Linked DNA regions of Schizosaccharomyces pombe. Changing the gene in region 2 together with the main gene of any one other region gives a genetic interaction. Each region holds a gene or a part of one and is shown on either strand. Other genes may lie near its edges. The genes, in order: asp1 and pho4.

The links.
Region 1: of pho4 (region 2) and asp1, a mutation in one rescues a mutant of the other (synthetic rescue), as found in Schizosaccharomyces pombe (one study listed by BioGRID).

Annotation. Positions count from the first base shown.
Region 1 is NC_003421.2:570,970-576,645, forward strand, and holds asp1 (inositol hexakisphosphate kinase/inositol pyrophosphate synthase), read right to left. Parts: upstream 3,604-5,676; 5' UTR 3,504-3,603; coding exon 741-3,503; 3' UTR 501-740; downstream 1-500. Other genes in the region: tyrosine--tRNA (Tyr) ligase Yrs1, read right to left, coding at 1-479; U3 snoRNP-associated protein Utp21, read left to right, coding at 4,568-4,643, 4,703-5,676.
Region 2 is NC_003423.3:444,541-448,826, reverse strand, and holds pho4 (thiamine-repressible acid phosphatase Pho4), read left to right. Parts: upstream 1-1,798; 5' UTR 1,799-2,018; coding exon 2,019-3,410; 3' UTR 3,411-3,503; downstream 3,504-4,286. UniProt on the Schizosaccharomyces pombe protein: May dephosphorylate thiamine phosphates.

The DNA.
Region 1 (5,676 bases), on a different chromosome or scaffold from region 2:
GACAATAGAGGACTAGCGACCTGCTTGACAACTTCTGCACCGGCACGACGAGCAGTGTGCTCTGTCGTAGATGCAGCAAGTCGAAAGTTATCAAGGGTATAATCCTCCTTCAGCTGATAGCTGGAGCCAATGACAAAACGAAGCTTCTCAATGGGAATATTCAACGATTTTAGAATAGATTTGACAATAATTTCATAATAACGAACACGGTGTTGAACGAGTTCCATCGGCGCCTTCATGTTATCCAAAAAAGCATGGACATCGGCTAAAAGAACAGTAACATGTACACCGGCCTTTAAAAAATCAGCCAACTTCATCATTGGCACAAAATAACCACAATGAGGACGGCCAGTAGGTGCACTGCCCCAGTACAAGCTGATATCGCGTTCATTCAAAATTTCGCGAATCATTTTGGCGCCAAGCACCTCTTGAAGATTACGAGTAATCAACTCATATTTTTCATCCGGAGTAAGCGACATCTTGCTTGATATCCAACGTTAAATGGAACTCACAAAAATTGGTGATGTTGGTTAACGATGTTTTCGATTGCAATCATGGACTGCGATCAACGTTCGGAATTGCCGCGGCACCGTGACTGCAACCCGAACAACAAATTATTCAGACAAAATTATTAACCAAGGTTTAATAAATAATTTGGTTTAATTATGTGCAATTACTAATAAAATATCGTTTAAAAAATGTTTATGTTATCAAAACATTCGTAAAAAGGGTAAAAGCGGTTAATTAATGTTAACAGGAATAAACCTTTTGGGAAGATGAACTGAGTTGCAGAGGTCCTCGGTTTTCGTTATAAACTGCTGAAGGTCTAAATGTCTTGTAAGCGACCTGCGAGGTGAAACGCTAATACAGTGTTTAGCATCAAGATTCATATCCAATGGACATTGGGCATAACAACCTGGTGAGAGTGTGATACGAACAGAAAATTCCTTATTTCCTGAAGGATTAGTCCTCTCGAATAACTCAAAGCATATTTGAGTGAGATAATCTAATTCGGGAATTTGATTTCTAGGTAATTTCATAGGTAGTCCTGATTCAAGTATACAATTAAGCAAGGTATAGATATGAGACTCTTTAGTAAAGTACATTCTTGTTGAAGCATGATCAGAATCTCGTGCCTCTTTAATGTCATGTATGATTTGACGAAGCAACGGTACACTTGTTAATAAACCAATTTCTAACTTTTCTTTCGGTTCTATACCATATTCTTGAGGAGAAACAAAATCAAATAATACTTTTGCTAAATCGTATAGCTCATACAACTTTTCCAACGGCCTTTCAGTGTGATTAGTATTTGCACCGGTCATCCCAACAAGATTGCCATTGCTATCGGTTCTTTGGGGAGGCTCTTTGGCAATCAAGCTTGGACTCTGAGGCAATTTGAGATACTGATAGGGAGTAAATATGCGTTCCAAAAATTGCCGATTGTGAAGAGCATCATACTTCAATGTATCGTATAGTTCAGAAACCTTGGATGGGTCTGCTTTCTCAGAGTCACAAAATTCGCTAAACAACTTCTCCCACCTTTCCCTAAAGAGCGCAGGATTTTCATTACAACACCAACGCGATTGAACTTGCTCAACCTCAGGTCCCAAAATAATAAAATTCTCTCTCATTACTGCGCGATGATATTTCATGAGTTGAACAACTTGTTGCATTACTTCACAAGGCTTGGGCATGTTTTCTGGCCAAGTAAACTCCTTTCTAGCCGTATCTCCAACTCTTAATAATGATTTCAAGTGTTTCTTAACCTTATCCATAGTATCCTTGGCAGCATTAGAATCATCTAACAGATCTTTGCGAACTTTGAGTAAGTCGCTAGGAATAGTTTCTTGCTCCAAAAAGGCCATTGCAAAAATTTCAGCAGAAGCAGAGACACGTCTTTCAGAAGATGTGTATATTTCGACATCTTTCAGGCAATCACGATTCATAATATACAGGTCCTTATGAAACTGCTCTCCTAAATCCTTAGATTGGTATCTCGCGGAATGAGTAAATTCACCACCCCATTTGATAATTAGCTGCAGTTTCAAAAGCTTTCCCTCTGGGGAATAAGCCGGTTTAAGTTGCACTTTTGTCCCCGGTAAGTCTTTCTTCGTTTCCAAAGCTAAGCGTAACTGTTTTAACTTGTTGATATCTTCGCATTTGAGTTCTGTAGCAAGGTTGGTAGCTGCCAAAACAGAATTGAGTTGTTCGTTTCTTAAAATAACTTCCTCGGTATGACCTTGCAATAATTTTACAAATGGATCAGATGTAAATGAAAACTTAAACTTTTGTTTAGGTGTACGATCCGCGTGACGCAGGACTCCGACCAAACTTTTAAGTCTCCATGCCTCACTTTCTCTAGGCGGAGGATTTAAAACTTCTTGGACTGAAGGTACACGATTCCGTCTATGACGTTCGGCAACATGAAACATTTGTTTCAAAATTCGAGCAGCATTATCATAATAATCGTTGTTATCCTTGACGAAGGACCATCCATTCACATCAATCACATACGACTGACCTGAGACACGAAGAAGATCAAATCCACAAACAGGTTGCTCAAACGCAATTGATATCTTAGAGGCCATATTTTTTTCTTCCTCTGAAAGATTGGTGATAAACCTAATTTCCTTACCATGTGGATTCCTTCTCACAATTCCGTCCACTACGGGTGATTTGCGGGTTTCTGCATGGCTGTAATGAGGACCCACGGTATAAACCTTTACGTCTTCCGCGTTATCGACATTCATGAATTCCTCGTAAATAAAAGATCCTTCAGTGCGTGGAGCACAAAGATCTGGATCATAATCTGAAGACTTATTTGCGACTTTACGAAATAATTTGCGACCTCCCCCACCAACGGATTTAGGGAAATAAATATAAATATTGTGATCTTCACCATAGACTGGTTTTTCAACGTACGGCTTCTTTATTATCTTGCCATCAACAGAAAGAGTATCTTCGTCCAACATTTTTACTTCTGGGGTAGGAACCTCTGTGATTTCTATTCCAAACTTTCGACGCAACTTTTCTTCTAGGACTTTATTAATTTTAGGACCTCCATCACGAGAGCAAATCAAACGCTGAGGGGTGGAAACACGTATGGCATCAAGGATGTTCAACACAAGCCGTCTATCCCAAAGCAACTCTTGGAATACTACATCGTTTACACAAAAAGGTTTACGCAACTCGACATACTTTTCAGCTTTCTTCAATGGAAATCCACTAGAGTAGAAACATATCAAATAATCACAAGCAGGCCAATTTTCCACAGCTTCGTCCAAAATCATGTTGTCACCGAATACTATGGCTTCAAACTCACCTTCTGCGATGATTCTGTTCAGAATATTCCGACATGGTTTTGAGCGAGCTTTGGCATCCATGGCACAGATTCCAACTACATTTCGTTTAGTAGGTGTAACGATTGAGGAAACAGGCGACGCCGTTCTGGTAGATGACTCTGTGTCGATAGATGTAAGATGACTTGCATTTTGAATCATCCTTTATTATTCAACTACGTTAAAATATTTAATAACGCTTAAAACACCTTTTTCCCACTTGTATTCTTTCAATGGCCAATTCCCTCACTTGTTTGGTTATGAGAGATGTAGGTACACGGTGTTAGTACACACCTAGTCGATCAATGTTACTTGTACGGTTAACCTTACAATTCAGCGAGGTAACATTTGTTTACCTAACGAAATGTAAATAAATAAGAAATTGTTGCTTAAATGAAGTGGACAGTGAATATTGAATTTGTTTCGCAGTAATGCTTCTATGAATAACTTTTTTACTAATTATACTGGGTTAGTTAATTTGGGTTTTCATAAAAATTTTTTTAACCAAGCCCAGTTTCTGTTATTCTTCTTTCAAAAACGTATTCTTCCAGTTTAGTAAAAGCTTGTAAAATCCATCAATATTAAATTAAAAAAGAATTAGAAAAAATTTTTGTTTAATAGGTTTTTACTTTTCGTCCGTGCGAAAACACGTGGACTGGAATGTTTAAATTTTACAAGCAACAAACATTAAAAAATTACTTCTACTAGCTGGGTTCAAGAGTATATTGTTCTCGCACCTTTTACATAAAGAAAAATATTTTTTAAGAATTTACTGAAATTTATTTCATTATTTACAAGCCCAGAATTCCAACAATCATAGATTTACCTTACCACTTTTTGATATATGTGAATAGAGTTCTTTAGGTATTCTGAAGAGAATGTAGAAGTTTTGCTAACATGTTTTTACGATTAAATCTTACAATAACATTAGACATCAATGTTTAGTTCTCTTTTTTTTTTAATAATAAATAATTTGTTTACTTAAATAAACGGAACAATAGCAGAACGATTCTTATTTATAATTACCGAAAATTGATATATGACGGATTGACCATATCGTTAAACACATTTATCGATTTCAGTAAATACACTGTCGTAAATTAACGATTATTACTGTAGGTCGTAAAGGGTTGCTAGAATTTCACAAACACTGCTTTTTGCAAGTTACAGGACAAGAGCCATCCTTTGCCATTTTACGTGCTATTTGTGTTCTTTCCTGTGATAAAATGCCATTTGCAGAGAAGAAACGGAGGACTTATGAAAATGCGGTGAAGCCTCTAAGAAAATCTAGGATCTATGCTCGTAAGTCAAAATTCTCTCTTTTTCTTTTGGAATGAACAGATTGCTAACTGTATTTTTAGCCTTTAGATCCATCGGTCACGTTTCCAATGCAGTACCTTTCGACATTGAGGCTCGTGGAACCCATTTTTTGGTAACAACGTCGGTGGGAAACACATTTCAAACATATGACTGCGAAAAGTTGAATTTGCTTTTCGTTGGCAAGCAATTAGACAAGGAAATTACTTGTTTAAAATCCTTTAAAGATTTCATGCTTGTAGCTGCCGGATCAAAAATTTTTGCATATAAACGTGGTAAAATAATATGGGACATTGATGTGGAGCAAGAACATGGAACAGTCACTCATTTAGATGCTTTTGGTGAGTGGATTATTGCTTGTACATCTTCTCGTCATGTTTATGTATGGAAACACGCTTCTAAATATAGTGTTCCTGAGCTTCATACTACATTTCTTCCTAATACCAATGCAGATATCACTAGTTTACTACATCCAAGCACTTATTTGAACAAAATACTGCTAGGATTCTCAGATGGAGCATTACAGATTTGGAATTTGCGTGTTTCTAAACGTGTACATGAATTTCAGGAATTTTTTGGTGATGGAATCACTAGTTTAACACAAGCCCCTGTCCTCGATGTTTTAGCTGTTGGTACTATTAGTGGTCGTATTGTAATCTTTAATCTTAAAAATGGTTCAATACTCATGGAATTCAAACAAGATGGCCAAGTTCTTTCATGTTCATTCCGTACTGATGGGACACCAATATTAGCTTCTTCCAACCCCATTGGTGACCTTTCTTTTTGGGATCTTTCAAAGCGAAGAATTCAAAATGTTACATATAATGCTCATTTTGGGTCACTTCCAAAGATACAGTTTCTTAACGGGCAGCCCATATTAGTAACTGCTGGTCCAGATAACTCTCTTAAAGAATGGATCTTTGATTCAATGGATGGTGCTCCTAGAATCCTACGTTCTCGTAATGGTCATTACGAGCCACCTTCATTTGTTAAGTTTTATGGGAAAAGTGTGCACTTC
Region 2 (4,286 bases):
TTGCTAATAAAATATGTTAAAATAAAAATTGGAAGATGAGTTGAAATAAACGGTTCTATAAACAAAACTCATTTAAAGAAAGAACTGGCAAACAGATTATGTCAACATATCTCATCTAATATCGAGACTACTGATAAAAAAATCTAATTTGCTAATGACTACAAGCTTTTATTGTTTACTCTTTGTTGCTTACAGTTCTAGTCAAAGGAGGTATTTTATTTTCGTATTTCGCTGTACATAGCATAATTTCATGAAATGCTTTTCTCTATAAATATGCTTTTATAAAGAACTAGTTAATAAAAAATTGCTTATTTCTAAGCTCTTTTAGGATTAGTAATATATAAAAAGGAAGATAAGTATTTTTATCCCTTTTTAACTGGATTGTTATTACTATAAAAGAAAGACTCTTACGGTTGATAATAAAAGCGTAGAGATCAGAAGATAAAAGTAGAATTCACCGCCTATATTTCCTTTGGAATAAATATCCAACAGTATACTTACTATTATAGAGAGAAAATTAATTTCCCTTTGCCCTTTATCATATAAAATGGTTCTTTTTATGCTGAGTGCCTAGCATAATTCCTTCCTTTTCGAAATATCAAAAGGCTTGTGAGACTTCAATTGGTAAATGCTTTAAAGTGAGTTATTACTAGCTCGCTTCAACCACTTCAGCTTGATTCTCCAATAACCGAGTTTTCAAAAGTACTCATTCTTGCAATTGCTATAAAATTTTTATCTTTATTTATACCATTACCATTGTAATATTGTTATAAGGCATCGCTTTACTTACTGAACATAAAAAAAATCTTCATCATAAAATTAATTAAATGTCAGAATAGAAAAAAGTGTTTAGAGGGTCCAACCGTACAAACAAACAACTTTTACGTTTTTAACATTTTCATTTCTTCAATAACCCCACAGTTGTTTTAAGCTATTACTTAAGCGAGGGCTGCACATGACAATGTGGCTAGTATACCCTTTATATACATTTTGAATATGCATATGAAACCCATTATATTAACGCTGGAATAGCGGGAATGCTTGTTTATTATATTAATTTATTCTATTGGAATGAATAAATCTTTTTTCTGGACATTTAAGAACGGCATGAAACAAGTAGCTCTAATAAATTAAATTGTTGGATCTTACTAAAGACTAAATATTAATAATAATTTTCTCCCAAGCTATTTATATACATATTAGAAGCAATTTGCAAAGATAGCAGACTAATACTCTTCAATGCCCAACTTCTTATTAGTGATATACATGTAAAAATATCTTTATTATGCAATATTATGTAGCAGCTCGTACAATGTTTGCACATCTTTACACAATAGTATTCATTTTGTATTACATTATCATTTATAATTCCATTTCACAGAGAGTAGGCATTGCTATTATATAATATAAATTTATATAAAACAAAAAGACTGCAAAATCATTTCCAACTGAAACTTCGTTCTTTAGTTCTATTAAATTATTAAGTATTGGAATATCAGATTTTTGTAAGTTCAGTAATAATAATATCATTATATTACACCGTTGTATTATTAATCGCATAATATTACTGTAACACTTTGTCCGTAATTTGCATCGTTATTTCAGTTAACAATTGTGGGTCCAAAATCTTAAAGTCTAATAGCGAACTACACCAGGTTTGCAACTTCATTCATTTTTTTTAATTCCAATGTAGTCGTGCCGAAATCAGACTTTGGTTTGGTGGTAGCCGGGGTGCTTAGTGTTAGCAGATATCCGGATTGATTGTATATAAATATCTGCTGCTTCTTGCGCTTAGAATAGTCATCTTTTGACTGTTTATTTTAGACTTTTCCTACTTCAAATAATCAAAGTTCGTTGATTGAATAGACTACCGTTCGTTTCAACCCGCTTTTAAATATTCGATCGTTATTTTTTTTGCTATTGAATCGCTGGTCGTTGGTTGATTCATACACAGTAAATTTCTTTCTTGTGGTTTTATTGGGTCTGCTTGGGTTACATAAATTCATTGTTTTTTCTCGATGAAGTTAAGTGGTATTTCTCTATGGCTTTTGGCCGCATCCATCGTTCATGCTGGTAAATCTCAATTTGAGGCATTTGAAAATGAGTTTTATTTCAAGGACCATCTTGGAACGATTAGTGTATATCATGAACCCTACTTTAATGGGCCCACTACCTCCTTCCCCGAATCTTGTGCAATTAAACAGGTTCATTTGCTTCAGCGTCATGGATCTCGAAACCCGACTGGGGATGACACTGCCACTGATGTCTCTAGTGCGCAATATATAGATATTTTTCAAAACAAGCTTCTAAATGGCTCAATTCCGGTAAATTTTAGCTATCCTGAAAATCCTCTTTACTTCGTTAAACATTGGACTCCTGTGATAAAGGCTGAAAATGCCGACCAGTTGTCCAGCAGCGGTCGAATTGAACTTTTTGACTTGGGCCGTCAAGTTTTTGAGCGCTACTATGAGCTTTTCGACACTGATGTCTACGATATCAATACTGCTGCTCAAGAACGTGTTGTCGACTCTGCAGAATGGTTTAGTTATGGAATGTTTGGCGATGATATGCAGAACAAAACCAACTTCATCGTTCTTCCGGAAGACGATTCTGCGGGTGCAAACTCCTTAGCTATGTATTACTCTTGTCCCGTTTATGAAGACAACAATATTGATGAAAACACTACTGAAGCCGCCCATACTAGTTGGCGTAATGTTTTTCTCAAGCCTATCGCCAATCGCTTAAACAAATACTTTGATAGCGGTTATAATCTTACGGTTTCGGATGTTCGCAGTCTTTACTATATTTGTGTATACGAGATCGCTCTCAGAGATAACAGCGATTTCTGTTCACTCTTTACTCCCTCTGAATTTTTGAATTTTGAATATGACAGTGACCTTGACTACGCATATTGGGGTGGTCCCGCTTCAGAATGGGCTTCCACATTAGGTGGGGCTTATGTTAATAACCTTGCAAATAATCTTCGTAAGGGTGTGAATAATGCTTCCGATCGTAAGGTATTCTTAGCGTTTACCCACGACTCTCAAATTATTCCAGTCGAGGCTGCTCTTGGGTTTTTCCCCGACATTACTCCTGAGCACCCTCTACCGACTGACAAAAACATTTTTACATACTCATTAAAAACCTCTTCGTTCGTTCCCTTCGCAGGAAACTTAATTACTGAACTTTTCTTATGTTCTGATAATAAATACTATGTACGCCATCTCGTCAACCAGCAAGTATACCCCCTTACTGATTGCGGTTATGGTCCTAGTGGTGCTTCAGATGGGTTATGCGAGTTGAGCGCTTACTTGAATTCTTCGGTTCGTGTTAATTCTACCTCTAATGGTATTGCTAATTTTAACTCGCAATGTCAGGCGCATTCCACCAACGTTACCGTCTACTACTAGACTTAGCATCTTATATTATTGTTAACACAATTGGGTCCTTAGGAATAATATAGATAATTTTTAACTATAGTAATAGCTTATGTATAAGACTTAGGTATTAAGGAGGAAAAGTAGAGCGAACAGAAAGTGAGCATTTATATATTCAAGAAAGACTTACGAGACATAGTATAAACGAGTTGTGTCAGTGTTTGAACAAAAAAGGAAATACTTATAGTTTTAAATGCCTAGTACGAAATCTATAACCTTCACTCGTACCGCCTTTAGGTGAAGCTAATTCTTCAATTCGACTTACTTCAAAGCCTTTCAAGTGACTCCGTAGCTTTTGTAATTCCTTTCCAAATCATTAATATTAATAGGTCGGGATAAATCTTAAACATTTCTCAAGATATAACGCGTACATTAACGATTCCTTTTGGCGTCAACAACTCACCTTTTACCACACACGAACGACACAAAAGTTTAATAGAATTCATTTAAAATATTTGAAAGTCATGTAATTTGCCAAAAAAAAAATCCCTAGTCCTCCTTTTCCATTACACGGATAAAAGAATCAATCAATCCCTTTTTTTAAACCCTTTAATATCTGTAGCTCTATAAATCAAAATGAACATTGCCATGAGATGTTCCAAATGATAAAACTAAGGCTTCGCGTAAGAAGGTGCTTCTTCTGACAATTTTCTTATTTTTTAAGATACTATCCAAAATCACCGATTTCAAACATTTTCGCGAAAAACCAGCTATCCGGAATTACCAAAGCATTAAATCTTCAATAATTAAACATGGTAATCACACCAAACAGCGCATTTTCAAACTCATCTGATTACCGCATGTGTAAGAATCTATATTCTTTGCCCACAACTTTACCAAATAACCGTA